Linked DNA regions of Astyanax mexicanus. The protein of the gene in region 4 purifies or fractionates together with the protein of the main gene of each other region. This does not show direct contact. Links are inferred from orthologs where the notes say so. Each region holds a gene or a part of one and is shown on either strand. Other genes may lie near its edges. The genes, in order: rnf111, hirip3, ccnl1a and csnk2b.

The links.
Region 1: the proteins of csnk2b (region 4) and rnf111 purify together in Homo sapiens (co-immunoprecipitation; 3 studies listed by BioGRID and IntAct, with this or other methods). This does not show direct contact. The link is inferred for Astyanax mexicanus from reciprocal best matches to the Homo sapiens genes CSNK2B and RNF111.
Region 2: the proteins of csnk2b (region 4) and hirip3 purify together in Homo sapiens (affinity purification with mass spectrometry; 4 studies listed by BioGRID and IntAct, with this or other methods). This does not show direct contact. The link is inferred for Astyanax mexicanus from reciprocal best matches to the Homo sapiens genes CSNK2B and HIRIP3.
Region 3: the proteins of csnk2b (region 4) and ccnl1a purify together in Homo sapiens (co-immunoprecipitation; 3 studies listed by BioGRID and IntAct, with this or other methods). This does not show direct contact. The link is inferred for Astyanax mexicanus from reciprocal best matches to the Homo sapiens genes CSNK2B and CCNL1.

The regions. Positions count from the first base shown.
Region 1 is NC_064430.1:30,984,414-30,992,016, forward strand, and holds the start of rnf111 (E3 ubiquitin-protein ligase Arkadia), read left to right. Parts: upstream 1-4,597; 5' UTR 4,598-5,334; intron 5,335-7,603. UniProt on the Homo sapiens protein: E3 ubiquitin-protein ligase. Required for mesoderm patterning during embryonic development. Acts as an enhancer of the transcriptional responses of the SMAD2/SMAD3 effectors, which are activated downstream of BMP.
Region 2 is NC_064426.1:34,701,140-34,708,193, forward strand, and holds the start of hirip3 (HIRA-interacting protein 3), read left to right. Parts: upstream 1-4,051; 5' UTR 4,052-4,135; coding exon 4,136-4,203; intron 4,204-4,421; coding exon 4,422-4,548; intron 4,549-4,947; coding exon 4,948-5,095; intron 5,096-6,338; coding exon 6,339-7,054. Other genes in the region: kctd13 (BTB/POZ domain-containing adapter for CUL3-mediated RhoA degradation protein 1), read left to right, coding at 366-617. UniProt on the Homo sapiens protein: Histone chaperone that carries a H2A-H2B histone complex and facilitates its deposition onto chromatin.
Region 3 is NC_064416.1:35,501,256-35,508,650, forward strand, and holds the start of ccnl1a (cyclin-L1a), read left to right. Parts: upstream 1-4,379; 5' UTR 4,380-4,481; coding exon 4,482-4,739; intron 4,740-4,936; coding exon 4,937-5,011; intron 5,012-6,082; coding exon 6,083-6,192; intron 6,193-7,395. UniProt on the Homo sapiens protein: Involved in pre-mRNA splicing. Functions in association with cyclin-dependent kinases (CDKs). Inhibited by the CDK-specific inhibitor CDKN1A/p21. May play a role in the regulation of RNA polymerase II (pol II).
Region 4 is NC_064410.1:37,124,630-37,132,626, reverse strand, and holds the start of csnk2b (casein kinase II subunit beta), read right to left. Parts: upstream 3,016-7,997; 5' UTR 2,931-3,015; exon of another isoform or gene 2,902-2,930; intron 1,854-2,901; 5' UTR 1,844-1,853; coding exon 1,772-1,843; intron 725-1,771; coding exon 622-724; intron 1-621. UniProt on the Homo sapiens protein: Regulatory subunit of casein kinase II/CK2.

The DNA.
Region 1 (7,603 bases), on a different chromosome or scaffold from region 4:
CTTAAACTATGGTAAAACTGTGTCTCAGGCGTCAGGCAGTGTATTTATAATCGTTTAGTGTAATAATTAAAATCAATAGTACCTCACAAAAGTGAGTATCCGCCCCCACATTTTTGTAAATACCTTTTCATAGGACAACAGTGAACATATGAGACTTTGATACAGTGTAAAGTAGTCAGTGTACAGCTTACTAATTCAATACAGAACCATTAATGTGTGAACCACTGGCAACTGAAATGTCAACATTTTGTGTGACCACCATTATTTCTGAGCACTAATTTAATTCTCTTGGTTCTGAAATTTACTAGAGCTTCACAGGTTGCCACTGGAATGCTCCTTCACTCTTCTATGAGGACATCACAGAGCTGGTGGATGTTACAGTCATATGAAAAAGTTTGGGCACCCCTATTTATCCAAATCATTTTTAGTTGTAAATATTTGGGTGTTTCAGCCATTTCAGTTTGATATATCTAATAACTGATGGGCACAGTAATATTTCAGGATTGAAATGAGGTTTATTGTACTAACAGAAAATGTGCAATATGCACAAAATTGGTTTGGTAACCTCATTGAGCTTTGAACTTCATAGCCAGGTGTATCCAATCATGAGAAAAGGTATTTAAGGTGGCCAATTGCAAGTTGTTCTCCTATTTGAATCTTCTCTGAAGAGTGGCATCATGGGCTCATCAAAACAACTCTCAAACGATCTAAAAACAAAGATTGTTCAACATAGTTGTTCAGGGGAAGGATACAAAAAGGATGCTGCAGATGGTGTCACTGTGCATCGCTCAACAATACAGCGCACTTTGCACAAGGAGAAGCTGTATGGGAGAGTGATGCAAAAGAACCTGAGGTGTGCTTTTGCATAATGAGAAATGGCTTCTTTTGCATCACTCTCCCATACATCCCATCCCTGGCTATGAAGTTCAAAGCTCAATGAGGTTACCAAACCAATTTTGTGCTTCAGTAAGTCAGTAAAAAGTAGTTAGGAGTATTCAAATCAATAAAATTATAAGGGTGCCCATACTTTTGCACCGGTCAAATTTTGGTTTAATGCATATTGCACATTTTCTGTTAGTACAATAAACCTCATTTCAATCCTGAAATATTACTGTGTCCATCAGTTATTAGATATATCAAACTGAAATGGCTGTTGCAAACACCCAAATATTTACAACTGAAAATGGTTAAGATTAATAGGGGTGCCCAAACATTTTCATATGACCGCAAGTTTATGTTGTTCTGATCAGACCACAGGACATGGATTCAGTATTCCAATGCCCTTAGTCTGCTGTCCTCAGCCAACTGTTTGCTGTGTGTGGCGTATGGTCTGACACCTGAGACCTTTTAACATTAACATTAAGTCATAGGACACCAGGGAGGGAAATGGCTAACTGAGCACAATTTGGCTTGTGCCCAAGTTTTGTTGCCAGTGGTTTAGACATTAAGAGCTGTGTGTTCATTTGTTTTGAGGGCTGAGCAAATTTACACTGTTACCAATTTTGCAAACATTTTGGAAATTTTGGTTAGTTGAACGCATTCTGAATGCTACAGTTAACGTTCTTAAAATGTTCAATCTCTCAAAGTTTCTCGATGTTCTAACATCGCTGCAGTGTCACTTGTCAATTTTTTTGTTTTGTTTTGGAATTGTTACTTTTAACATTTCGATAAAGTAAAGTAGTATTCAGCTAGCTGGGACGGTTATGTGAGAAACATTCTAATAATGTTGTGATGCAAACCATTATTTTGTCACATGTTTTCAGAATATTTCTGGAGATTAGCACTTGGCTCTATGACCAAAAATGTATATCACGGTTTTATCATGGTTTTACAGCATATCACACAATTTTCATTATCACTATTTATTTATATTTTTTGCATGACTGAGCTTTATTTAAACAGTAAAACACTTGAGGTGCATGCTATAACGGGTGATATTTGCACTGCTGTTCTGAGGTAATAAGTCGCAATCTTAGGCAGAGTGTCATGGAGCAGCACAGCACTGCTAACATTACACATTATAGCATTAACCTCAAGCGTATTCTTGCAATTATACCACAGTTCCATTATCACAATCTTGTCTTACTTCACATCACAGGGTCGAAACGAACTGTGGTATAATATAGGTTTTGCGACTTACTCTACTGTTATGAATAAATATAATATAAAACATTAAGGCTTTGATTACTTTGTCCCAAACAATTACACAATATGAAGAATAATAAAGAAATCAGACCTTACTAGCAGAAAAACAGCTAAAGAATGTAAACAATAGACCTTGAAAAAAGGTAAACCAACAACTTTTACACAGCTTTCATTACAAAATTAAATATTTTAAATGGTCCCTAAACCCTATAATGGACCTAAAATACTCAAAATGTATTATATTTTCAAAAAGCACAAGTTAGACAAAAGTTAAATATCAAATTAAAATATGTTGTTATTAAAGCCATTAGAGGCATTTAAGTATATAAATGGATGTTTATTAGTCACAATTGCCTTTTTTCTCCAGTCAACAAATACATTCAGTTCAGTGTGCATTAAAAGTATCCTTTTATCTACTGTATAAATATACTGTATTTAAACAGGGCTATGGTTACTGCTTTTGTAGTATTTTTCCATCTCGTATCCGAACATCACTTGTACTCAATAAATGATTCTGTACCCAGGATCAATTCTGGGCTTGTCTGGGGGGTGAGAGGAACTTTTTCCAAGCTAAAGATCATAATTTCAGCATAATTCCAGTCCTCTTTTTTCTCTGAGTGAATAATTGCAAAAGCTTTAGTCGTTTGCTGTGGTTCTTCTGTTTTACTTGAATAAAATCACTCATACAGTGAAGATCAACGGCAGGAGATCCTCAGATAAAGTACTGTTCTCATATCACATAATGTTTCTCCAGGTAGAACACAGCAAGATGAGAGAGATTGACAGAGCTTCACAGACTGAGTGAAGTTGAGAGAGTGATGTAGAGAGAGGTAGTGAGAGAGAGTGACAGAGAGAGTGAGGTAGTGAGAGAGAAAGTGAGATAGAGGGATTAAGTGACTGAAAGAGGGGTAGAGAGAGAGAGAGGTTAAGAGTGAAGTAGTAAGAGAGAAAGAGTGAGGTACTGAGAGAGAGTGACAGAAAGAGTGAGGTAGTGACAGAGAGTGAGGTAGTGACAGGCAGAGTGAGGTGAGAGTGAGGTAGTGACAGATAGAGTGAGGTAGAGAGCGAGTGAGGTTGTGAGAGAGAGTGAGGTAGCAAATGAGAGCGAGGTAGAGAGTGATGTAGTGTAAGAAGGGTGAGAATGAGGTAGGGAGTCAAGAGAGAGTGAGGTAGTGTGAGAAGAGGGAGAATGAGGTAGAGACAGAGAGAGTGAAATCAGCACATCACGGAAATCAGCTTAATCAACAGTCTAATCTAATTTATTTATATGATTTACTTTTATATGTAAGATGTGTTAATGTGTATGTGTATGTGTATGTGTGTATATATATATATATATATATATATATATATATATATATATATATATATGTGTGTGTGTGTGTGTGTGTGTGTGTGTGTGTGTGTGTGTGTGTGTGTGTGTGTGTATTAGGGGTGTGATGAGATTAAAACGTGACGATATTTCTAGTCAAGCTTAAACCTGTCTCACAGTTACAGTACAGTTAAAATGGTCCGTGGTACAGGTAAAAAGCTCCGCAGTACAGTTTAAAAACTCAGCGTGACAGTGCTCTTACAGTCCCAAAGATTCACAGCCCTAGTAAATACTGTACAAGTGACTGTTTCCCTTAGCTCTGTACTGTATGTTCTGTCTCTGTTTGCACTTCAAGCATAGTCTTAATATGACTGTTTATGGGTATGCATAGTTAAATAACGAGAAATTTAGGAGAAAAAAAACACAAACATTAGGCTTAATATGACTGGTTATGGTTATGAATAGTTAAATAACAAGAAATTTAGAAGAAAAAAACACAAACCTTAGGCTTAATATGACTGGTTGTGGTTTTGCACTTATTGTTTGCACTGTATAAGACCTAGAAAAGTTTTATTTTTATATATCTTATTCTTATTTCTATTTCTTATAGAATCAATGTGTAAGAGCAACCAGTCTGTTAAGTTTGAGCTATATGATTTTGTCAAATAAAACTCTAGTTTTCAAGGCATTTTTCATTTCTGATGTTTTCTTTAGAATTTTATTTTAAAATCTCGTCTCGTCTCGTTCTCGTGAACCCAGTATCGTGTATTGTCTCGTGATATTAGTGTCTCTCGTCACACCCCTAGTATTTATGTGTATATGTATATATATGTTTGTATATGTATTGTTATATATATATATATATATATATATATATATATATATATATATATATATATATATATATATATATATATTACCTTTTGTATATTAACTTCTTGTTTCATTGCTGTTAATTTTGTTTTGCAAAAGTTGTTAATTGCAATTCATGCCAATAAAGTTATTTTAAATTGAAAAAAAAAAAAGAAGCCAACTTAATTACATTGAAATTGAGTGAGGTAGTGAGTTAGAGAGACAGAGTAAGGTAGTGAAAAAGAGAGGTAGTGAGAGAGACAGAGAGTGAGGTAGTGAGAGAGAGAGAGTGTGACAGAGTGAGGTAGTGAGAGAGAGTGAGGTAGAGAATGTGGGCGAGATAGAGAGTGACAGAGAGACTGAGGTAGTAAGAGAAGGGGGAGAATGAGGTAGTGTGAGAGAGAGAGAGGTAGAGATACAGAGAGAGTGAGGTAGGGAGATAGAGAGACAGAGGTAGTGTGTGTGAGAGAGTGACAGAGAAAGTGAGATAGTGTGTGTGAGAGAGAGAGAGAGACAGAGAGACTGAGGTAGTGTGTGTGAGAGAGAGAGTGACAGAGAAAGTGAGGTAGTGAGAGAGAGAGAGATGGCGCCTCTCGCGGAGCTGAAGTCGGATCTTGCCAGCGGGGAGGAATTAGCGCCGCATTTCTCTCACAGATAAAACTGCGCTCTCCTCTCCGTCTAATCTCAGTTTATATCAATAGTGTTATCAGATTTTAACAGTAAAGCGCCATTATTTTCCTTATTGATGGTAAACAGCCGCCGAATCGTCGAGCTTGTCTGGTTAGCTAACGGTAGCTAAGCTAACTAGCTCGCTCGCTAGCTTTAGCTTTAGCTTCAGGCCCCGTTTGGGCTTTTCTGTGACTTGTCAGTTTCTCTGCGCCTCCGCTTAACTCGCTCTCTCCGGGTTTTACGCGTTTGTTCTTCAGATTTCAATCGTGTTGGGCTCATTTCTCGACGGATTGCCTGGCCTGTATGCCCTGGGAGGAAGTCAGCGGGTCGGCCAGCGTCGTTGAAGCCGTGAAGAGGTAACAGTGCTTCGGCCAGTCCGGCTGGAAATACGCTGCTATTGTTTAGGCTTAGGGACTGAACTTCACAGCTAGCGCTAGCTGGGTTAACACTCTCACTTTCTCCCTGGTTTTACCAATTTTTATTGATATTACGAGTTCAAGTCATATCACATATTACAATCAAATACTGCTGGATGTAATGTAGCTGTGTGTAGCTCGATATCCAGTTTAATAAAGCTAGTTTAATTAGCTATAGCTAGACTGGTTATGTTTGGGAAATTCCTTGCGAGCGAGTTAACGTTAGCCTGGATTCGCCGCCGCCACTGCTGCTCTTGTTTTTGTTGTTGTTTATGTTGTTTTTTCTAAGTAATACCCCATCATTATTACATATTACACATTTATAAACCTTTTATTATGTGTATAAGTCACGCTCGTGCTGTGTGTCTGTATGTAGGGTGGAATTATATGTCTAGAAGCCTGAACATCCTGCGTATGTTTTTCCTCCTCTGGCTCTCATAACCTAGGTTAGCTAGCTGACGACGTTTAGCGTTCAGCTCTAGATTACTATAGCTAGGTTATGTTATGTAGCGTTAGGCCTCGAAAAACTGAGCTTCTTCTTTTATCTTGCGTTATGTCTGTTTTCTCTTCCTTTCTGTCTGTCTGTCAACATCTTTTGGCCTGTCTTTCTGTCTGTCAGTACCTATTAGCGGTGTAAATAAATATCGGTATTGTATCGTATGGCGACATCTTGTTTTTGCAATACTATATCGATTTATAAAAGCATCATAACTGTTATCTATCTATCTCTATCTATCTATCTATCTATCTATTAGGGTGTAAGAAAATGTTGATGTATCGTATCGCAATATTTTGTCTTGCAATACTAAATCGGTTTAGAAAAACAGTATTATTTTAATTTAGATCACGTGTGAAGATTAAAGTCAGACCGTGCTTCATTTACTATGCTGTCTGAACGTTTTTCTTTTATACAGATTTTGTAAATATGACTATGTTTTCATATAATATGGTAGTTACCAGCGATGTGTTTAATCATAACCCATGTATTGTGATACTATCTGTCTATTGATAGAATTGTTAATGTTTTTAACACTGATGCTAAAAATCAAATATTATAAAGGTTAAATAATCTAAATTTAAACATTAGTATTGCTATTTGTGGCCTGATCGTGTTAATATATTATGGACTGGTGTGTGTGTGTGTGTGTGTGTGTGTGTGTATATAAATATAAATATAAATATGTACATATGTATGTATTTCTTGCATGGACCTTGGTGTGTGACCAGGCACACAGCGCACAGCATTGTAAATCTGTACCTACAAATTTCTGAACATAAGTCAGAGAAAGGAGCTGTAAATATTAAGCAGTTTTACAAATAACATTAGTTATTGATTTATTTGTATTGCGATATGTATTGATTTTAAATTACCTTAAAGCCCTGTGTCTGGTAAGTGCCTGCAGAATCGCTCCTTCATGTATAAGAGTTTGACAGTTTTTAACATCTGAGAAATCTTACAAATGCAGTTATTTTCCCGCTCACACTGTAATCACTGTTTTTGTTTTTATTCTCAGTACAATGCTTTGCATTTCTAAGAGAGGCTCGGAACATAGATTTTTACTGTACAGTAAAATCACAAGATTTTATATCAGGTTATCTCGCACTATTTCTATTGTTCAGTTTGTCAAAACACGCTCACACTATACAATCAGTTTTGCACATAAATGGAGGAGGTAGAATGGAGGTTGTATTAATCAGTCTGATTGGCGTGTGTCAGAATGCTTCCACGCTCATGTGTAGTGCTAATAGCAGGGTAACATAGCATCTATAGGATCTAGTCTCTGATCCTTGGGGAAGGAATTAAAACAGTCTCTCACAATCCTCTACGTTCTGAAATCTGTATCCACCTTAGTGTCAAGGGCCGTTGCTGCTGTGAGTCCCCTTGGGTGGGGGGCAATGTGCACTTTGCTCTGTGGCTCTGTGTCTCTGTGGCACATCGCAGGCTTGCAGGATGAACTCCCAGAGGAGCCTGGGATAGCACTCCACTATCTTAGTACAGGCATCTATTATTATTGTAAAGTGTTATGCTCACATGCTGCTGTGTTTGTGGATGATCCTTACTGAAATTGCTTAAACCATTAGTCTGAGATCAAAGTTATCTATTTATTTTCCAATGTATAGACATAACCTTAATCCTCTTTGCCCATTCTGTGTTTCTTAGCAAAAGCTCCAGGGTTAATGTGTTAACCAGGATAAGCTGGTATGTCAA
Region 2 (7,054 bases), on a different chromosome or scaffold from region 4:
TATATGGAGATATTTGGAGTGCATTATTATAAGTAGTATCATGACATTCTGAATCATTGACTTCTGTTACAAATATGCTAGAATTCTTGTTTTTTTTAATATCTTAGTTAGAGGTGTGCAATATCATATTGCACACCTCTAACTGTGCAATATGATATCGTATACAATAATAAAATTTAAGTTTTGTTTTGTTGCAGTAGTGTATTTTTTTATTTCTTGTCATATCACCAAGAGTATCGTTATCGCGATAATACCATGAAATATCGTGATATTATTTTAGGGCCATATCACCCACCCCTAGTTGGCATACAGATATTTTTTACTAAACATTACCCAACCTGACACACCTTTTACTCCTCTCCCAGGTTGAGTTTCCAGAAGCTCGCATCTTTGAGGAAACCCTGAACATCTTAATTTATGAGAATGGACGAGCCTCTGGTCACGGAGGAATGGCTCTGCTGGAGTCCGGCGGCGTCTCGTCTCCAGGTGTGGGCCAGTCTGAGGAGGACGGGGCTGGCGTAGGGGGTGGAGACAGAAGGGTGAGGCGGATCCATGTGCGGAGACACATTATGCACGATGAGAGGGGACACGGACAGCAGACTGTGTACAAGGACTGAGAGAGAAGATAAGTAGAATGAGGAGATGTGGAGATGTAGAATGAAGGAATAGGATACAGGTACTATAACTGGAAATTACGTCCACGGTCATTTTGAGGTTGAAACAAAAAAGATGGATGAATGGAGAGAAAAGCATGGCATGAATGGAGGAGGGAGTAAAATTTGGTACGCTAACACTGCACTGAAGGTGGGGTGGGGGTTTATATGGACTTGCTTCAAAATGATCCCAAATGAGCCACAGTGTGGTTTCGCTTTATTTGTCTTATTATTATTATTGTTATAATTATTTTTGAGGATGAAGGTACATGTCATTCAGTTTTTTTAGTTGTTTTTGTTTTTTATTTATTATTTCATTAATTTATTGTCCAGATTTTTCACATTTTTCACTTTGTAAAGGTACATGTGAAATAAGTTATTGCTTTATGTGTGTGTGGAAGGAAGAGTATGGGGTGTATTGTGCACCTAATAGTGAAATGCGTTGTTGTTGTATGCAGAAAGTGGTACTTAGAAGTGACCCATACTTGACTGATGTATGATGTGTGTTCTTACTGGACTGTGTGCCATCCTCAACCTACTCTTTTGTAAATTGTTTTGTTTTTTTTGTTTTTTTTTTTTACTAAATTTTTAAAATGTGAGAGATCATCAGATCATTGTAAGATGACAGACTGTTGACAGTCATACTTATCCGGCCATATTGCAATTAATATTGCAGTATTAAGTCTTAGGTTAGCTGTAGGTGAACATCTAACGTCTCAAAGACGTGCTGGGGCTTCACTTGTCTATGGCTATGTTCAGACTATAAGCTCAAATGTGAGAGATTGTATCTAGATGGATTTTTAATAGGTCTGGACAGCCAGAAACATTTTTCTGCTAAATATACACATTAAGAGGTGGTTTAAAATGAAATAACTATTGGATTTGTACAGATGCATTTCAGTCTGTACTCTCTGAATGCTCAAATCGGATTTCAAGATATTATTTGCATCACGCACCATATGACAAACAATGACCTCATAAAATCCAGAGGGAGAAAAGTGTGGGGGTCAAAAAAAAATCCCTAAATATTACCTATTGACGTTGACCTCAATACCACACCATCCCATGCAGATATGTTTGTGATGTCCAGACATACAAATCCATTCTGATCACCTGCAAATAACAGCGTGGACAGTGATCTCAACAGATCTGATTTGAGAAAAAATACAATTTACCTGCAGTCTGAACATAGCCATTGAGTGATATCTCTTTATGGACATGTTCTTAAAGTGGTGAATTCTACCACTGTGCTGTCTTAATAGTGGTCCAGTCAGCCAGCTTTGCAATACACACATTCTAACAGCTGGTTGATTTCACTTAGAAACGTAGAAACTTACATTGTAGATGTTTATTTCCTTTTCTTGCATGCTTTAAACCAACCAACCAAACAACTACAAAAAACAACAAGCCTATGAGCCACTCCCCAAGCTTGCCCATAATCTATGTGAATAATAAAAACACCTAATTACATATTTAGTAACATATTTAGCAACTTATTACATCAATTATTCATTTAAGTACCAAAGCTGTTGGAAGCTAACTGTGTTACACTGATGTGACTATAGCATAGGTTCTAATGTGCTGTTCAAGCAGGGACCCATTAAACCAAGAAAACACCAAGGACAAATGCACAAATGTTTCATATGTATCCAAAACAAAGGCTTACATTGTCTTCTGTCACAACAAGTGAGTGACTAAAAGCTTTGCTCTGTTGTGTATGTGATAATAATGAGGACGCGGTTTTTGTTTAAGCCAAAAGAAGCAAGAACCTGCTTTGGAGTCATTGTAGATAAACAACAGTTTATTTAAGAGTATCTCATTGACTGTCAATGATTATATAAAGGTAAAAGCCAACTGCTCACCTGCTGAACATGCCACAGTGCTGTAAAAAAGAATTGTACTAGACCCATGTCCAATTGAGCAAATGTTTTAACTGACTAAGAACATAGCCACTGCTCACACTTAAAAACACTCACTCCACTCACCTGAACCTAAAAATCAGACATAAATCTTAACAACAGTATTGTCAGAGATTTTACACCACTTTCTAAGTGTTTGGCACCTTAACATCTTTCTGGTATTATTATGCCGTCCATAAATATTAATTGTTGTTTTATCCACAGGTTCACTAATAAAAAATCTTTTTTTTTACACATCGCTGTTTTTGGACTTTATTTAAATTTGTAGTTCTACTATTGATTTGCAAATAAATCAGTGGAGATATATATAACGTACTGCAAGCAAACTAATATGTTAGGAAAGTTTACTATCCTTAGGAAATAGTAAGTAATTGTTCATTATCATATTGAATCATCTAAAGAATATTTTATTAATTAGACTATTACTATTATTTCGCTTCTTTGTGGAATCTTGTTGTGAGCTCCCCCTACAGACTGAAAGCGGGCTCAGAGGGTATAACTGCACCAATCATGAAAATGTTTGGCCATAACTGGACAATTACCAAGTGTTGTAATTTGCACCTGGGCATTTTATGGCCCAGGGGCCACATCCGGCCCTTTGCCTTTCCATACCTGGCCCTTTTGTTCACTCACTACATACAATTAGACTACAAACCAAAGCTAGCTATAGTACTTTGAATTAACTAAGCTTAATGCTGGTTACTATTGCATAGGCAGTTAAAACTTTTTTATTATCAACTGTTTATCCTAATGTTAATGAAATAATTATATAATATTGGTGTATTTTAAACTATATGTGCTTCACATTTTATTTTTCTAAAACTTATTGCCAAAAGTAATGGAATTTATGTATTTATTTATGTAGTTTATTTTTTTATTTTTTGCCAATATGTTTTAATAATTAAATAACGCTCAATTTGATTTAATTTCTGATGTTAAATCTAGAATATAAAACTAAACATGCAGAAAAAAATTCCTGTGGAAAGTTTCCTGTGGATGATGTCACACAGACTAAGTAGATGTACATAAATTCAAATTAACTTCAGCCTTTTCTTATGTAAATTATATTTTACAGTATTAATTGTAAAAAAAAATCTTCCTATTCTGTAACAAACAGTCTATGGTTCTGAGCGTTATTTTTTTAAACTTAAGTTATTTTATATTAGTATAGTATATTTTCTTATGGTAACTAAACCGTTCAGAGCGTTTTTAATTTTTTTATATTATTTATTTTTCTCTTTATATTATTATTTATATTTTTAAATTTAAATTAAATTAAAACATTATTTTTATCAGTTAAATATAACTCAGTATCTCTTTAAACACATTACAGTATATTTCTTATGTAAACGGAATGATTTATTTTGTGTAGTTATTTCTGTTATTTATTTTAGTATTTTATTATTTTTTTATATCAGTTTTATACCAAAATGTATTAATTCTCTCTCTCTGGTAACGGCTTCGTGCGTGATGACGCAACAGTGCGTGTCCGCGCGCGCCAAACCCGGCCGTGGCGCAGTGTGTGTTTGTGTATGTTGGAGGAGGAGCTGCAGAGTTTAAAACATGGTTTCTGAAGAGACAGTGATCCGCCGGTTCGTCTCCAAACAGCTGCAGCGCTGTCCGGACCTCAGGTAAGCGACACTGGGTGAGCTTTAGCGGAGTGGAGGAGGTTTAGAAGAGTTTTAAGGCGGTTTGGGTGGGTCTAGAGACGCGGGCTGACTAACACATACATGTAATAATGAGCTAAGCTAAGCTAGGCTAGCTGTGTTGCTGATGTTTAAAAATGAAAAGGCGCGAGAGTCTCACTGTGTATCTCTGTGTTTATTAACGCTGTAAACTGTCTGTGCAGCACGTTAACACTAGGAATACTACGGAAGCGCTATCTGGAGCATGTGGGCAGAGAGTGCCTGAGTGTGGAGCACAAAACCCTGCTGAAAAAAGTGGTAGAGGAGGAGCTGTTGAGGATGCAGGTCGAGGTGAGTGGTGTATTTAGTATTTTCAAAGGCTCTGTATGCTTAAAAATTGCTTAAAAAGAGAGAAAACAGGTTTTACCACAGCTGGCCATGCAGCATCATGAGGAAATAATTTAGGCAAAAACGTACATTTTGCCCAAAAATATTTAGACGACCATTAAATTATTTTAGGATGTTGACAATATATAAATAATGCCACAAGAGGGGGTGAAAGTGCTTCCATTCTGCCCTAGTTAAAGGCCTTGGAGTCTCAGGAGTCTTGAAGCTTCTTTTTTATTATTATTTATTTATTTATTTTGTTTGTGTGTGTGTTATTACGATAACTTGTAATCTGTTTATATTCTGTATGATGCACTAGTTAATGTTTAAATGTCTGTCTTTTTTTGTTTTTCTTTTTTTCAGGACAGTGACGATGAACCTTTAATAAGAAAGTCAGACCCTTCACAGAACAAACGAAAGAGAGAGGATGATGACGAGGAAGCAGAGGCAGAAGAAAACTGTGATGTCAGGGCCCAGAAAAAGAAGTCTCGTTTTGAGTCAGTACTTCCAGGTATAAGGCAGTTTGTTTGCTTTCATAAATTTAAAAATTGCAAATATAGTCTGTATGTCCAAATTCATCCAGACAACCATTCTTATTAGTTGCTGACATTTAGAGGTCAAATATATACAGTGATTTACCACCGCTTTGTGTCAATACTTGCTGCCCATATGCAAGCAAGAGCATACAGAGGAGCACTTTTGGTTTACAAGTACGCACTGTAGTTCTGTAGTTTGTCTGCATACTTTATTATTCTTTTTCGACCTTTTTCTTCAATGGTCATGACCCCAGAGGACCACACCATGGAACAGCTATTATTTGGGTGGTGGGTTATTCTCAGCACTGCAGTGACACTAACTTGGTGTTAGTGTGCGTTGTGGTAGTATGAGTGAATCGGACATAGCAGTGCTGCTGGAGCTTTTGTCACCACTCACCGTATTTTACCAACTGCTCTATCTTGTAGATGTAAAGTCTGAGACAGAGGCTCGTCTGTTGCTGTACAGTTTGTTTTGCTCATTCTCTGGTCCTTCATCAGTGCTCACAGGATGCTGTTGGCTGTGGGTATTTCAGGTTGTTGGATTATTCTCAGTTCAGCAGTGATGCTAAGATGTTTAAAAACATCAGTAGCTCTGCTGTTTTTGATCTTCTTCTACCAGCACAACACACACTATCACCATGTCAAGTACTGAGCGTCACTGCATTGCTGAGATTGACCCAGCACCCAAATAATAGCTGCTCTGTGATTGTCCTGTGGAGTCCTGACCATTTGAAGAACAGGGTGGAGGATTAAAAAAAGCATGTAGAGAAACATAGGTCTTTAATGGGATTACAAAGAGATCCTGTATGCTCAGTTGAGATGAAACAATGGGGGGCTTTATTGAAAAGGCATGGAACCTGTTTACTGCAGCACACAACAGCAGAAATAAAATAAAATAAAAAAATGTTGTTTAATTTTCTTATCCAGTTTAGACTAAGAGCTTCTAATATAGGTTTAATACAGACCACAGAATGGCATAGAAGAATGACTGTAGAAGTAAATAGCGTGGGATTTAATTTTTCAGAAGATTAGAGCCTGCTATTGCAGTAAAAAAATGCACCACCATTTATTCACTTAATTTGAAACAATGTATTGAATGCAGGTGTCTATAAACTTTTGGACATGTAGCATGCTATACTTGTTTTCATTAGTCAAAGTGTCATAACAAATGTTTTATATATGCAAAACATACATTACTGCTTGTCTGTTGTCTATCAGAATCCCCGGATTCTGGAATAGAGAAGGCTGCTAATGAGGACCAGTTAAAAGAAGATGAAGATGATGACGAAGAGGAAGAACAAAAACAAGAAGAAGAAAAAGATGATGAAAGTGACGAGGACATGAATGTAGAGAGTGGGGAAGAAGAGCAAAAGGAAAATGTGAAGAGTAAGAAGAAAATAGAGAAAAAACAGCCAGAAGTGAAGGTAAAGAAGAAGGGAAAAGCAAGTCCAAGAAAACAAAAGAAGGATAAGGGAACTAAAGCAAGAAAGAAAAAGAAGGTACCAGAGAGTGAGGAAGACGAGCAAGACCCATCCTCATCTTCTGAGTTATCAGAGGAAGAAAAACCACAGCAAGCAAAGTCTAAAGGTCAAAGAGAAAAGAAGACGGTGAGCTCAGACAGCGAGGAAACAAAGATGAAACGGATAAAAAAGAAAGGACAGAAAAAGGATGAGACAGAGCAAGATAAAAGCAAAGTAACCCCTCCAAAAAGTGAAAGAAAAGAGCCGAATAATGAAGAGCTCAAGTCACCGGAGAGTGAGGCTGTGAGAAGAGTGCAGAAGGAAGTGTTTGGAAGTAGCTCTGAGAGTGAGGAAGATGATGATGAGGAGGAGAAGAACACGAAGAAGAAACAGCCTGAAAAGAATGAAAATGGTGACAGTGAGATTAAAAGTGATGATGAGAGTGATGAAGAAATGGACAAAAAGAAAATCACT
Region 3 (7,395 bases), on a different chromosome or scaffold from region 4:
ACTGGTTTTTGCTTAAGGACTAAGAGCCAAGAGTTTCATTAAAGATTAATATATTTATGTATATTTAATATATATTTAAATGTGTTGGATGGTCAAATGAGATTCAGATGTGTATTGATGTAGTGAAAAACTGGACAAAACCACATATTTAGATATTTTGGTAAATATTTTTAAATGTTTATTTTTATTTTTGTCAACAAAATGGGAGAGAAAATATCATAATTTAACTATATATTTCACTATGATTGTGTTGAATTTGTGCACAATATTATGAACTGATTATATGATGTGGTATTGGCTTCTGTCATTGCTTTCTTTATAAGGGTTTATTTGTAATGTTAGCTGTGTCTGAAACTGTGCCCTATTCACTATATAGTAAGTGCAGTTCTTCAGAGTTAACCAATTTTGCTGTGGTGTCTGATATGGGGGCCATACATTCACCTGGCTAGCTGCCGCGATGAGTTGGTTACATATGGAGGATCATACCTGCCAAATCAAAAAAATATTTAGAAATTGAATTATTACAAGTGGAAGCAAACAAAGAAGAAAAGAGGAGTATAAAAAAAGACAAGTAAATAAATTAATAAGGGCCATAAAATCATAAACAAATTAATAAATTGAACAGAAATAAATAATTAAAATAATTACAGCACTTGTATATTTGTACAGTTTATTCCTTACATTCCTGCATTTATATACTCTTCAATGTATTTGTTTATGTATTAGTTACAATTTTCTTATGCCTATATTAAAGTATTTGTATTTTACTGTACGTATATTTGTAACTTTTCTTCAGTTTATTCTTTCATTCTTTGTTTCATTTATTTATTCCTGAACTTTTATTACAAATATTACATAATACAAACATATATACATTGAATAATACATAAATGCAGAAATGGAAGGAATTATATTGTAATTGTACAAATACATACTGTAATTGGTTTATTTATTTATTAATTTCTAGGCTGAATTTATTAACTTTTTATAGCTTTTTTGTTTGTTTGTTTCCAACTGTATTGATTTTGTTGTAACTCTTCCAAATTAAACTTAATTTTTTATCTTTTTTAACACAGAATCTAAGAAAACATATATTTAACTATATATTTAGATACTGATCAATCTCAGGCAGCTTTGCGTGATTTTTTACAAAGTTTCTAAGCCGAAGATGGTTAACTTTTTTCTGTTACCAAAACTCATGTAACAATTAAAAAGCATGTTTAAAAGTTAGTCAACTAATTTCTTTGATTTTCTCTCAAGAACTTTTTATTTTAAAGAAATGGCTAACTGCATGTTCAAATAATGGATATTTATGACAAGAAATCCCTATACATGCAGGCACATTGTATTTTTCTGGAATATGCAAAGCCATTTTTATCTTTTAAAGAAGACCCAAACCTGAAATTGATAAAATGTATTATCATGTGATTTATTAAACAAATAGGTAAAAGTGGAAAAAAGTTATTTATTTTTTTCTAGAAAAAAAATTATTATTATTATTATTACTATTAGGAGCACAAATAAAATGTGTATTTGAACTTAAATATTATGAATTTATTATGCAAAAAGCATATATGGGATTTGGAGTCGCACAACAACGCAAAAAAAATACATTTCTGAAGGATTTTAATACTTATATTTCCTGGTAAAGTTTATAGTTAAAGAGTGGGGACAGGTAGCAAATGTTCTAAGTATGTTTCAGTGTTCCAAGTGTTCTTTATTTAGTGTATAAGACGCTATGCCTAATAATAAAATGTATTTTAAAAGTTATTTTGTGTGCACATGTATTTTCCTAGGGACAGAAATACTCTATAATAGTAGAGTACATGTCCTCTCAATAGAGTTAAATCACTGTTCTGTGTTTCAGTGTTTTAGCTCTGGGGGGAGAGACCTCTGTACTGTTAAATATCTCACTCACACTGTCTGAAGAAGCACAACCGCACCTCGGTTTAAGGCTCACACAGACGGAAATACACCGGTTTCTACGAATTAAGCTGCGCGTCGCCCTTTAAACCGTATTAAACTCAGTGTCTTGTTGTCGTCAGGTCCATATATAACCCGGGGCCTGTTCTTCTCCTCTGTTCCCGGAAACCGTCGCCCTCCGCGGACTGACGTCACGGTCACGTTTCGAAAGCAGAGCCGCGGAGGGATACACTCTGCCTTCCGCACCCGCTTCCCGCCTTCGACGTCACGGGAACTAGTTTCGTGACTCAGGCTAATTCAAAATCGCGAAATATCAGAAACGGGTCCAATAATACAAATAAACACAATAAAAACACAGAGTTTATCCCTTTCACTCGTTTATATCTTAATACACATGATTTAATTAGAAAAGCCTGTTTTTCATGTTTCATGTATGATATTTTGGCTTCATCAAAAATTAAGAAATGATTAAACAACTGTAACAATGTTCTTGGCAATAAATCCAAAGCCTGTTAATTTCTCTTTTAAATTTGTAAGGAACATGCATTTGTAGGATAAGAAGCAGAGCTGAGTATGTGGGCTGCACCCATGAAAAATTAGCGAAATCGTCTATGCCATTTTCAAACAGTTTATTCTGTCATTGACTCGTTCGCTGTTGGATGATCTGTTGGGTGTCATTTTGTTGGGACGCCCACTTCACGGCCTGTCTCTGATATCCCCAATTATATGGAACTTGGCCATCAGTTTGGAGATACTGCTATTATTATTCTCACTCCAAATAATGATACAACTTGGTTTTGGGGAACACCAGGTTGAAGTTGCCCAATCATACAGGCCCTATCCATATTAGCCAAACATGGCATTATGCTGATGAATGGAGCAGACACCTACTTACCACTGTAAACAGGCACCTGATCGGTGATGCCCTGGTGGTACCAGAAGCTCAAGACAAGAGTCAATAGCAACTGCAGAATAAGCTGTTTGGCAAATTTTTAGGGGTGCAGTCCACATACTCAGCTCTGCTGCTCATCTTACAAATGCATGTCCTTACAAATATACTGTTGTTAGAAAATGTATATTGTAAACAAAATATATATTGTTTTAAAAAGATAGACTTTTTTTGATTGACAAGCAATGGAAATAAACTGAGCTTTAAACAAATTGTGTTACTGCACTCTCTACTGTAGCATTTATACACTTACACACAGCACATTCACACTTTCATCATAATAACTAAAAACGATACAGAAACACAGAGACCTCTGTAACTATTAAAGGTCTTTTCTTTAGAGAAGTTACAGATAAATCCAAAGAGCGGTGAGTACTGGAGTACAGGAAGAGGTCTGGCTGACCCACATGGCAACATCGCTCAGCTTAACATTTTTTTAGGGATAGAATTTCTATAAAACTAATTAATTTAAAGCTATGTAGTCTTTGCCTTGGTGTTTTATGGTAAATTGTTGTGCCTGTTGTGAATTTATATTAAAAAAATCACATTTTTTATATTATGAACCAAACCATTCCTCTGATTGTGGAAACTTGTGTCTCTCCACTCTTCCTCCAGATTCTGCTCCCTTTATTTCCAAATGAAATGCAAAATTTACTGATGGTCAATGATGGTTTGGAGAGACATGTTATTTGCGGGTGTTGGTCTGCTGTGTCCAAAGTCAGTGTAGTGTTTTTTCAGCATTTTCTTTTCTCTGCTTAGAACTTTTATGAAGATGCAGATTTAATTTTCCAGCAGGACTTGATACACTGGCCACACTGCCTCTTATATACAGGCCCCACTCTTATATACGGGGTTCCTACGGTAATTAAAAACCTGGAAAAGTCATGAAATTTGAAAATAGCAATTTACAGGCCTGGATAAGTTTTGGAAAAATAACAATAACCAGAAAATTTTGGAAAAGTCATGGAAGTTGTGTCTACAAATCTTTTGTTTCATTTTATCGATAAAGAAAATCTCTTTTGAGCGAACAAATACATTAGATCAGAGTTGGTTCAGTAATTTAGCCCTACACATTGGAGCTTTCAGGATCTGACACACATTTTATTATTAAATATTGGGTTTCAACATATTATCTGACTCATATATACTACTATACCTACTATAATCAATTTTTACTATAGTTTTAATTGATTTTTGTTTTTATCGTTCATTTCTGCACTGATGTTTTTAAAAATCCCATGGTCATGAACAGTTGCCTTAAAGGCATGGAAAAGTCATGAAAAAGTAATGGGAAATTATGGGTTAAAAGCTGTATGAACCCTGTATATAATATGGAAATTTTCTGAGATTCTGACTTCTGGGTTTTCCTAAATCGCGTATATAACATATGAGTTTCACATTTTGACCTGATTACTGAAATAAAGCAAATTTTAAGTGAGGGACTAGTGTGTAAATATGAGCCGGCCCTATATCGCGCGGATGTGTACACTCTCCCCTCCTCCTTCTCGTGCTGCTGCGCTGCGCGGCTGCTGATCTGATCTACGTCAGTGCCGGTCGGTGGGTCCGCTCGGTCTGTTCTTCTGTCTCTGGATCTGCTGAACTCGCGCTGATGGAGGCCACGATGGCTGCGACTCCGGCGACCACCGCCACCCCTAACCCGCTGCCCGGCGGCGACGCGGGGATCCTGATCGGGGACCGGGTTTACTCGGAGGTGTTTCTGACCATCGATAATTCCCTGATCCCGGAGGAGAAGCTCACCCCGACCCCCTCCATGCTGGACGGCCTGGACCTCCACACCGAGACCGACCTCCGCATTCTGGGCTGCGAGCTCATCCAGGCCGCGGGGATCCTGCTGCGACTGCCGCAGGTAAATAACGGGGGGAATAAACCCGCCGAGCGAGGGCTGAACCGGGAGTAACCGGCTAGACCCGCCGCCGCCGCTAGCTTTAGCATTAGCGCGCCTCTCCTTTAGACAAAAACAAAATGGCGGTCTCTCCGGGTTCGGTCTTAATGTGCGGATTAAAGCTTGAATTTCTGTCTAAATGTGGTTTATTCATTTTACAGGTTGCCATGGCGACGGGGCAAGTCCTATTCCACCGGTTTTTCTACTCCAAGTCGTTTGTGAAGCACAGTTTCGAGGTAAGGAGCTCAGCCGGCCGGCTGTGGGGCTGAGGGTTTAGATAGTTATTCAGGCCCGGCTGCGTAAAACCAACGCAACACCACCGGCAGCCATATTAGACAGCGCGGGGAAAGCCAGCGCGCATGCGCACACACTTATTCACACTTACTAATACTCACTCGTATGTGGCATAACGTTCTAAAGTCTAGACAAATGACACACAAGTTAAATTATCATAAGGTTATAAACCTTATTTTCCTCTTATTATATTAATAAGCATTGTGTCACTGTTGGATTACTTAGCTTTTTTTTAGCAATGATTATCTCGATCAGCCTTAACATTTAAATTTTTTTAAGTAATTGAACTTGATAATAAGCACAAAAAGTCACCTGAACCTGAGTTTTTCTTAAATTAACTTATACTTCACTCATTCTGAGACGTAGAAATTGCTTAGTTTAAAAAAGCATACCAAAGAATAGCTTAGTCCATTAGACATCTTATTGGTTATCACTAGTAGGATGTTCCATTTAGTGATGTGCACTAACTAGTAATGACAGATCTATTAACCTATAAAGGCATTCTGACTAGACATATTTTAAAAAGTATATTTTTGATTATTCATGTGCTGCGCTCTCATTTGCAATGACTTTTTTATTTGAATAAAAAAACGACCCTATTATTCAGCTATAGTTATTTATAGAAATGTTATAGTAACGATTCTATATATCTTTACTAAGTTATGAACGGACGATATGGCCAAAATTTTATCATGATGACAGGTCTTAAATTCGGTCAGAGGGATATTCTGCTGTAAGTAATCACACACTGTTAGAGCTGGTTGATATGGCAAATATTACGTCACATATGTTGATACGATAATATTATTTTTATTATCTGATAAACTATAGATAAAATGAACAGCGTTTCAATCTCACGTAATTGGGGCACTAACAGAAACTTAAAACACAATTTATGCAGATTTGTACAGTTCAGAGTTTGTTCTTCTGCCCACTCTCATTTTGTGGCCTCACTGCCTCTCTTGGTTTTAGCTACATCCTATATTACCTCACTGTTTCTGTTCCCTCCTCAGATTGTTGCCATGGCCTGTATTAATCTGGCCTCAAAGATTGAAGAAGCCCCACGTCGAATAAGAGATGTCATCAACGTTTTTCATCACTTGAGACAGATCAGAGGCAAAAGGTGAGCAGTCTAGTGCTTTTGTTTTGTCACATTCTCGACTGTTTCTTCTGTTTGTTACCTGTACCAACAACCTCCCACCTTGACAGATATGTTTCATTGTGTAACATTTAACGTCATCACTTAACATAAGTGAATCAGGTATATTTTAAACATGTTTACTGTGACTAGTCTCTGTGCCTTTGTTTTTTTTTTATAGAATGTCTTGATTTCAGTGCCTTTTTGTTTGATTTATGTACTCTAAACCATTTTAAGACTTTTCAGTTTCATCATCAGTCATAAGTTGATAGTAACAGCAAGGTAGTAATCTGCTTACCTGAGCAAGATAAATGCATCCTGAACACTCAGTACATTAATCAAGCAGTATTGAAAACTATTTTTATATATCGTAGTAATGTTTAAAAAAAAAAGGGATAAATTTAAATTATAAGTGGGTAGGGTTGGGTGATAGGTTTGTTCAACTGAGTAAGAACTGAGGTATTAACTTGAATTCTTTTTTCCCTTGCAACCAACTAACAGCGACCAGCTACATTTACCAAAGCCTGGGTGATGTGGAATGGTACGTAGAGATGAAGCAGTCGACATGGCAACAGTGAGCGAGGTGTCGCTTCCCCCCGCTCCCCTGGGAGACGCCAGTGGTCTGAAAGCGGTCACTGGGAAATCGGGGACGACAGGTTGGCCGCTGGTCCCGAAGCGCCTGGGTGACTCCTGTGTCTCAGTTTAAGTTTTTTTCTGTCTTTGCTAACACGGGTGATGAGTGATTTATATAAAATCATTTTACAAGCCAAAAAATAGACAAACCCACCTCATATCACAGCTTTCACAAAAACCACACACCTCAGATTAGCCAGTTTTAGTTGTACGATTTAAGACAGGGAAGTTAGCAGGGCTGTTTATACCAAACACTTCATCCTGCATCCTCGCTTGTGATCATTTGTGTTCCCACACTCTTTGGACTCACATTAGTTGTATAGTTAGTTGTCCACACAGTGTAATGCTCAAATATCTTTGGCACAATGAGTATGTTGTCTACTTGTATGTTGTTGTGAGTTCATGAAGTTAGTCATGTTAACAGTGAATTTTGAAAGCTCTCAAATAGATATCAAGCTTTGTGCAGATATGTGTATATATATTTTTTAGTTTTTGTTTGGTCTTACTATAGTGCATTGTATTTAAATTTTTATAGAGCCAAGAGAAGTAGCAGTA
Region 4 (7,997 bases):
CAAAATACAGCAGCCTTTTTGTTGCTTGGGTGACTTAATATGACAGAAGTGATCAAACTGCAGAAATTTATTCTTTAAACAGGAGACCCGGATAACAATTTGTAACCGGCAAACACTGGGTTTATTGTGGCCAACCTAATTAACAAACACCTTTTTCAGTGAGTAGAGTAACAGTATTAAGATCAATTTAGATTCCCTGCATTACCTTCCGCTTCATATAACACTGTTTCTCAATCTTGATTATCCAGTTCCCCCAGCTACTGATCAACTACTCAACTAAAAAGACCTTTCGCAGCAGCAGGGTGTTATAAAGTAGAGAAGTTTTCTGTGCAAGGCAGCAGGCTGTGGTTATTTTATGGAAAACAAAGAAAGAAAAATGTCACACTGTGATATACTATACTGTTTTTGGAATTTGAAAAGGCCTTTGTGGGGATATGAATTTTTGGTCATATTGCACATCCTTATTTTGGACGTGGAGTATCTTTGCTCTGGGCAAAACAATGTAACAATCCATGCTATTACATTGGCTCTCCTGCATTGATAATGATGGGTACCTGTTGAACATAGTAGTTTGATTTAACATTAGCTCATTTTAAGAACATGCTGAACTGCCATACTAACCAGGTTCCAGATCCAAAATCATGTCCAGAGCTTGTCTGTAATGTGGAACCTGCTCATTGAGTCCAGTGAGGTTAAACTTATCCTGGATATAGTCCTCATCCACCTGGGTAACACAGTAAGCATGAGTTTGAACATGTTAAGAACATTTACAAGATAAACATTTATTATTAAGTACAATTGGTGAACACATTAATATAGCAAGCCATTTTAGCCTAACATCACACCAATGAAATAAGACCTAATTTAGATCTTAACTCAGTCAAGATCTATGTAATGTAACAGCAAAATTATTTTGGATATCAGCCATGTAACATGGTTTTGATGTATTACAAGGAGCACATATCATTAATGTAAATTTTGACTAGTCAAGACTCCTCCTTTCTTATCTATAGTAACACTGTTACTTGGTAAAACAAGTTACCGACATCTAGTTTTACTTACTAGTAGAGATTGTAATTCTAGATTTGTAAAGTGCAATTCTAAGTATCAAAACCTCCAGATATATACACCATCACTAATCAAAACCAGAATTTATTCACAAAATAAAATAACAATATGGAAATGGTCTGGTAGCATAGATAGCCAGAAGTAATAATTCCAAAGCTGATCACTGCAATGAAAGATTCCAAGAGTAAAAACTGCATTACAAAGCTTAATATGTAAAAACTAAGCAAGTACCGCTGGTGACATCAGTCACAAACCCTTTAAAAGATGTGTGAAGTTCCTTATAGCACTTTTTCGGTCATTCTAACTCAAAGTCACCAAGTAACACATACTAAACATCCTGAGAGCATCACAGGACAGTTTGTGTAAATCTGTCCTCGTTCATCTTACCTCATTTACAAAACGTAGAAGTGCTGGGCTAGCTCTGGAGATCCTTTACAAAGTCTGTTTTTTGCTTATATAGATCTGTTTCTGCCATTTAACCGTTCAAATGTTGTGATTAAATGTTTTACATACCATATAACTAGTTTCGACCTGAACAAACTGTTAAAATATAAAGGTTTGAAATCATTTGCCCTCAATAATAGTTCAAGTTGAAGCTTGGCATCAATATTCAGAAAAAGGTCTGGGCTTTCGGTTAGGCTGAAAGGGTTTGCCATATTTTACCACTATTGATGTGTAAAGGTTTCACATGAAAAGCACGAACCTCACAGAAGAACTCGTTTCCTCGTAGACCACAAAACCAAGAAATCCACGAAACTTCCTCCGAACTGCTCATTTTGGGGAAACTAGACAAAAGAAGGTAAAACAAAACAGAAGGTAAGAAGAGCTCAGAGCCGGTGTTTTGTCGAGTTGTGTTACCCGTCGATTTGTGCTTCTTAGCAGTTCTGCGCATGCGCTTAACTCTCATTTTTACTGTTATCATGTGTTTTTCGTAATTAATTTTTCGATTGCACTGTACAATATGGACTTACTGCCATCGTTTGCTTGAGTGTTACAACAGTGTAAAAATAATGATAAAATATATAATAATAATAAAAAAAATCACCTATATTGCCTTAACTTTATACTGATTCAAATATCATACCGAGACCTCCACTGCGAGCACGTTCTAATGTTTTGTATTTTACCTTTAAATATACACTAGGGTAGCATAGTGTGACAAGCTTGCTAAAATCGACAGAACACCGGTAGACTAGTGTTAGCTTGGCTCTGAGAGGAGAACACTGAGGTATAACCTAGGCTAGGACAGGATAGGATAGCATACACAAGATACCCTCACAATTTACAAGATACTGATTTTAATGCTAGAATAGGATTAACTAACTAGCTAAGTACACAAACAATTTAGCTCTCGGGTTATTGACCCCAGCTTAGCTAATTAAATATATAGATATTTAAAACAGCTAGCTAATCCAACATAGGCTAACATGAGCTAAACTAAGCTAGCCGAGCTAAAAAGCCCAAATCCAGCCCGAGGCTGCTAGGCCGCTAGCCTCCCGTATTTACTGTGGGTTTAAATCTACCAGACGAGCCTCTGGCCACCGCGGCGTCAAATACACTGACCGAGTGCCGAGTACCGACACATACTGACCCGTTAAAACACGGAGAAATAAAGTCTTTCTACAAGAATCCTAAAAACCCGTTTTAGCCCCTCAGCTAAAGGACTCCAACATGGCGCAGCTCAAATCAGCCAGGCCGCATAAACCCGGAGCCGCGGATTCCTCGCTGTACCGACAAACACCTTAACATTTACACCCACAGCTAGCGAACACAAACAGCCCGCGCCCAACCCGCTCAGTAACACATTAAAAACAGTATATCTGCCAAAATTACCGAATATAAAACTCGTATTTGTGTATTACCTCCCGGATTCAGGCTAAAAGCTGCTGCAGAAGCGGAGCGCTGATTGGCGTGTTTCGTCTTTAGCAACGTCATGACGAACCAGGCGCTTGTGCTTATGGGAAGTGTAGTTTTTTCCCCAATAAATTCACCTCCATATGAAGACTTTCATTTAAAAACGCATTAAATGCTATTTTAATAGTTTTTATTTTACATTACATTTATTAACAATATTAACCCAGACTCATTTCTAAATATTGATATCAATTTCATAATGTAATCAGATAAATTCAGCGAGCAGCTTATTCAGGTTTGTCTTTTATTGTGGGAACATGACTAAATATTTTAGGCAGTGGTTCTCAAACTGTGGTACAGGTACTACTGATGGTACTCGAAACATCACAAGGTGGTACACTAATTAGATGACATTAGATGAAAAAAAAAATCTACGTGCATTAACCCTTGCATTATTTCCAAGTAATTATAAGAATGTTGTTTTTTAATCCACACAAAACAAGAACCAGTATTCGAATATAAAATCTAATTCAGTACAATTCTAAATGTTATCATATTTAATACATTATATAATTTTATATAATATAATATTTAAATTTATAATGTCCATTAAATTTTGAAGCCTTTTAACAGTGTTACTTTCATTATTGATATTGACCTTTTTACTTCACAACACAATGATAAAACCATAAAATGAATTTGATAAAGTGTTCTAAATAAGACGCAATAAACTAAAATAAGCCTTTAGATTTCATTCTTTGCTTGCCTTGCCAAAAACAACAACAACAATAACCAAATAACTTACCTTACTAACTTACTGATTGCAAACATGGGCAAGCACCACACAACAGGTAAAGAACAATTGGCAAAGATATTTGCATATATATATATATATATACAGTTGTGGTCAAAAGTTTACATACACTTGTAAAAAAACATAATGTTATGGCTGTCTTGAGTTTTCAATAAGTTCTACAACTCTTATTTTTCTGTGATAGAGTGATCGGAACACATACATGTTTGTCACAAAAAACAGTCATAAAATTTGGTTCTTTCATAAATTTATTATGGGTCTGCTGAAAATGTCACCAAATCTGCTGGGTCAAAAATATACATACAGCAACATTAGTATTTGGTTACATGTCCCTTGGCCATTTTCACGGCAACTAGGCGCTTTTGGTAGCCATCCACAAGCTCCTGGCAAGCTTCAGGTCGAATGTTTGACCACTCTTCTTGACAGAATTGGTGCAGTTCAGCTAAATGTGATGGTTTTCTTGCATGAACCCGTTTCTTTAGCACTGTCCACATGTTCTCAATGGGGTTTAAGTCAGGACTTTGGGAAGGCCATTCTAAAACCTTAATTCTAGCCTGGTTTAGCCATTCCTTTACCACTTTTGATGTGTGTTTTGGGTCATTGTCTTGTTGGAACACCCAACTGCGCCCAAGACCCAACCTTCGGGCTGATGGTTTTAAGTTTTTCTGCAGAATTTGGAGGTAATCCTCCTTCTTCATTATCCCATTTACTTTCTGCAAAGAACCAGTTCCACTGGCAGCAAAACATCCCCAGAGCATAATACTACCACCACCATGCTTGACAGTAGGCATGGTGTTCCTGGGATTAAAGGCCTCACCTTTTCTCCTCCAAACATATTGCTGGGTGTTGTGGCCAAACAGCTCAATTTTTGTTTCGTCTGACCAGAGAACTTTCCTCCAGAAGGTTTTATCTTTGTCCATGTGATCAGCAGCAAACTTCAGCCGAGTCTTAAGGTGCCTTTTCTGGAGCAAGGGCTTCTTTCTTGCACGGCAGCCTCTCAGTCCATGGCGATGTAAAACACGCTTGACTGTGGAGACTGACACCTGTGTTCCATCAGCTTCCAAATCCTTGCAGACCTGCTTCTTGGTGATTCTTGGTTGACTCTTGACCATCCTGACCAATCTCCTCTCGGCAGCATGTGATAGCTTGCGTTTTCTTCCTGATCGTGGCAGTGACACAACTGTTCCATGCACTTTATACTTGCGTATAATTGTCTGCACAGTTGCTCTTGGGACCTGTAGCTGCTTTGAAATGGCTCCAAGTGACTTCCCTGACTTGTTCAAGTCAATAATTCGCTTTTTCAGATCCACACTGAGTTCCTTTGACTTTCCCATTGTAGCTTTTGTAGCTGAGTCTAATCACTGGGTCAAATGAGCCCTATTTAAATGGGCTCATGAGAAGTCAACAGCTGTAGTCAATCAGAATCACTTACAAGAAGTGAAGAGGCCATGACATGAAGCTAATTTGATTGACACAACTCGCTACATCACCAAAATTGACAAATTTTGTTGCTGTATGTATATTTTTGACCCAGCAGATTTGGTGACATTTTCAGCAGACCCATAATAAATTTATGAAAGAACCAAATTTTATGACTGTTTTTTGTGACAAACATGTATGTGTTCCGATCACTCTATCACAGAAAAATAAGAGTTGTAGAACTTATTGAAAACTCAAGACAGCCATAACATTATGTTTTTTTACAAGTGTATGTAAACTTTTGACCACAACTGTATATATATATATATATATATATATATATATATATATATATATGTTTGGATTACATGTGTAGCTTACTGTGTGTGTGGTACATGTTTTTCTGTGGAATGGCTTCTAGGTGGTAGAATGATTCAGAAATCATTATTTGGTGTAATAGCCCTTGTTTTTAATCGCAGTTTCATGCATCTTGACATGTTCTCCTCCACCAGTCTTAAACACTGCTTTTGGATAACTTTATGAAGTTTGAGAATCACTGTTTTCAAGTAAAAATCATGATGTAATATAAATGAGACAACAGCTAACTCACACATTTTATTAACATTTTGTTCTAAAAATCTGAACTAGTTACATGGAACATAAAAAATTCAAGCCTTTAAACGGTTAAATCATAGGAACAGAGCTATAAAGCTAAAATACACTTTTTAATAGAGCTAGCTTATCTCCAGCACAAACCTAGACCTACATATTGTAAATAAGAACAGATGAACAAACACACATTTACACACTGTCCTGTGATGCATTCAGGATGTTCAGTAGATGTCAGTTAGGAACTCAAAGTGAAGAACAGAGTGGCGTTAGGCAATTTACACAGATTTTAAAGGGTATTTGACTGACGTCACCTTGGGTTCTGCTTTATCATAATTAAGTTTTTTTTTTGTAATAAAGATTGTTTAACATTTATATAGTATAAATGTACTATACAGACACATCCTGTCTTCCAGAAAACATTTTTCATGATCATGTCTTAAACTTCAGCATTAAGAAATCTGGGTCAAGAAGCCCTGTAAAAAGGCCAAAGGGAGATGGGGACTCTCAGCTGTTTGTTGGAGGTTTTTTTTACAGTATCTTTAACATAGTTGACAGTAGCAGAGTATGGGAAGCTTATTGATTACTTGGAAGCCTCTTTAAGCCTGTATGATAAAGACCTTTGCTTTGGTGCCTTTTCATTACACTACTTTTAAAGTGCTAATATGATTTGTATTGGACTTAGCCACTGTCTAAACTGTTAGCATTTTTGATGTTATTTTACACTCATAGCTGAAATCTCATTTGTCTTATACAGTCTCTGACTTTTGACAGTCCCCTAATAGACCACATATTGCTTTCTGGCTTCTGCTTAAGTATCTTTTATGTGTTTGTGTCCTAATTGCAGTTATAGGTGCAACCCAAAGGAGAATAGACTCTCCTAAGCAGGTATTACTCATGTTGCGATGCAGTTTTTTTTATTTGAGTCTTGGTTGTGTAAACTTTGACATTTTCAGCTATGCTCAGTGGTTCTTTCTCACGCTACTGTGGAGATTTTCTCTTTCAGTTTAGATTTCCCTCAGAATTTCATGTTATGGTGTTTCTTTTTTGTGTGTCTTTGTTATTCCTCGCAAGTTTCTCTTTTTGAGTCTTGGTTGGGTTTTATCTCATCTCATCTCATTGTCAACCGCTTTATCCGTGAAGGGTCGCAGGGGGGGGGGGGGCTGGAGCCTATCCCAGCAGGCATCGGGCAGAAGGCAGGGTACACCCTGGACAGGCCGCCAATACATCGCAGGGCAGACAGACACAGACAGACAGACAGACACATTTACTCACACTCACACCTAAGGGGCAATTTCAATCAAGTTACAATTAGCCTGAACGTGCCGTCTTTGGACTGTGGGAGGAAACCGGAGAACCCGGAGGAAGGTTGGGTTTTAGTTGTAATCTATTATATACATACTACTGTGGCCAGTGCTAACACATTCCTCTAACTGAACTGCTGTAAAACAAACAGGAAAATTACTAGCCAAAGTAGTTTTTGTGACATCACAGAAAAATGACAAATTGTTTGGATCAAATGGACTAAGAAATACATAGTATATGTGGAAAATGAATGTCTGCATGCTATTTCAAGGTATTTTATGATTTTTTTTTTAAATCTAGACCAGCAATATTAAAAAGTAATTTGGTTAATTGTTTACAAACATACACATTTTTGTTAACATTTGGGCTAAGAGCTGTAACATGCCAATAATTTAAAAATGACTACAGAAAGATTTGTAGTTTCCCTTAAATGTTGTCAGTTGTTTACTGGTGAGGCCCATTTTGTATACATTCAAAAAATAAGAGAGACCACTCACACAGGTCCATTAAAACAAAAGATTTTATTTAACTTTTCTCTCTGTATACTTTATTATAATAAGACACTTCTCTGCTTGTACATTGCTCCCTTGAACTTAAAAATGGCAACATTTGTTTGTGGGAATGTAAGTTGGGGTAGACAAACTTAGATACATACCAATATACATACATGTGTGTATATCAAGGCTCCAATAATAAACCATAAATGCTATAACAGCTGTAACCACTTCAGGTACCTTGGTAAAGTTGAAAGTATAGTACAATCTTTTGAGTATTCCAGGAATACACTTTAATGCTTATTTATTTATTTATTTATTAAACATGGGTACATACAATATGACCACATCAATAGATAGCTAAGAGTTAAGAAGGGATGAGGGGGTCGCACTGAGAGCCTATGGGAGTATATGGCTGCCGATGGCTAGGCTCA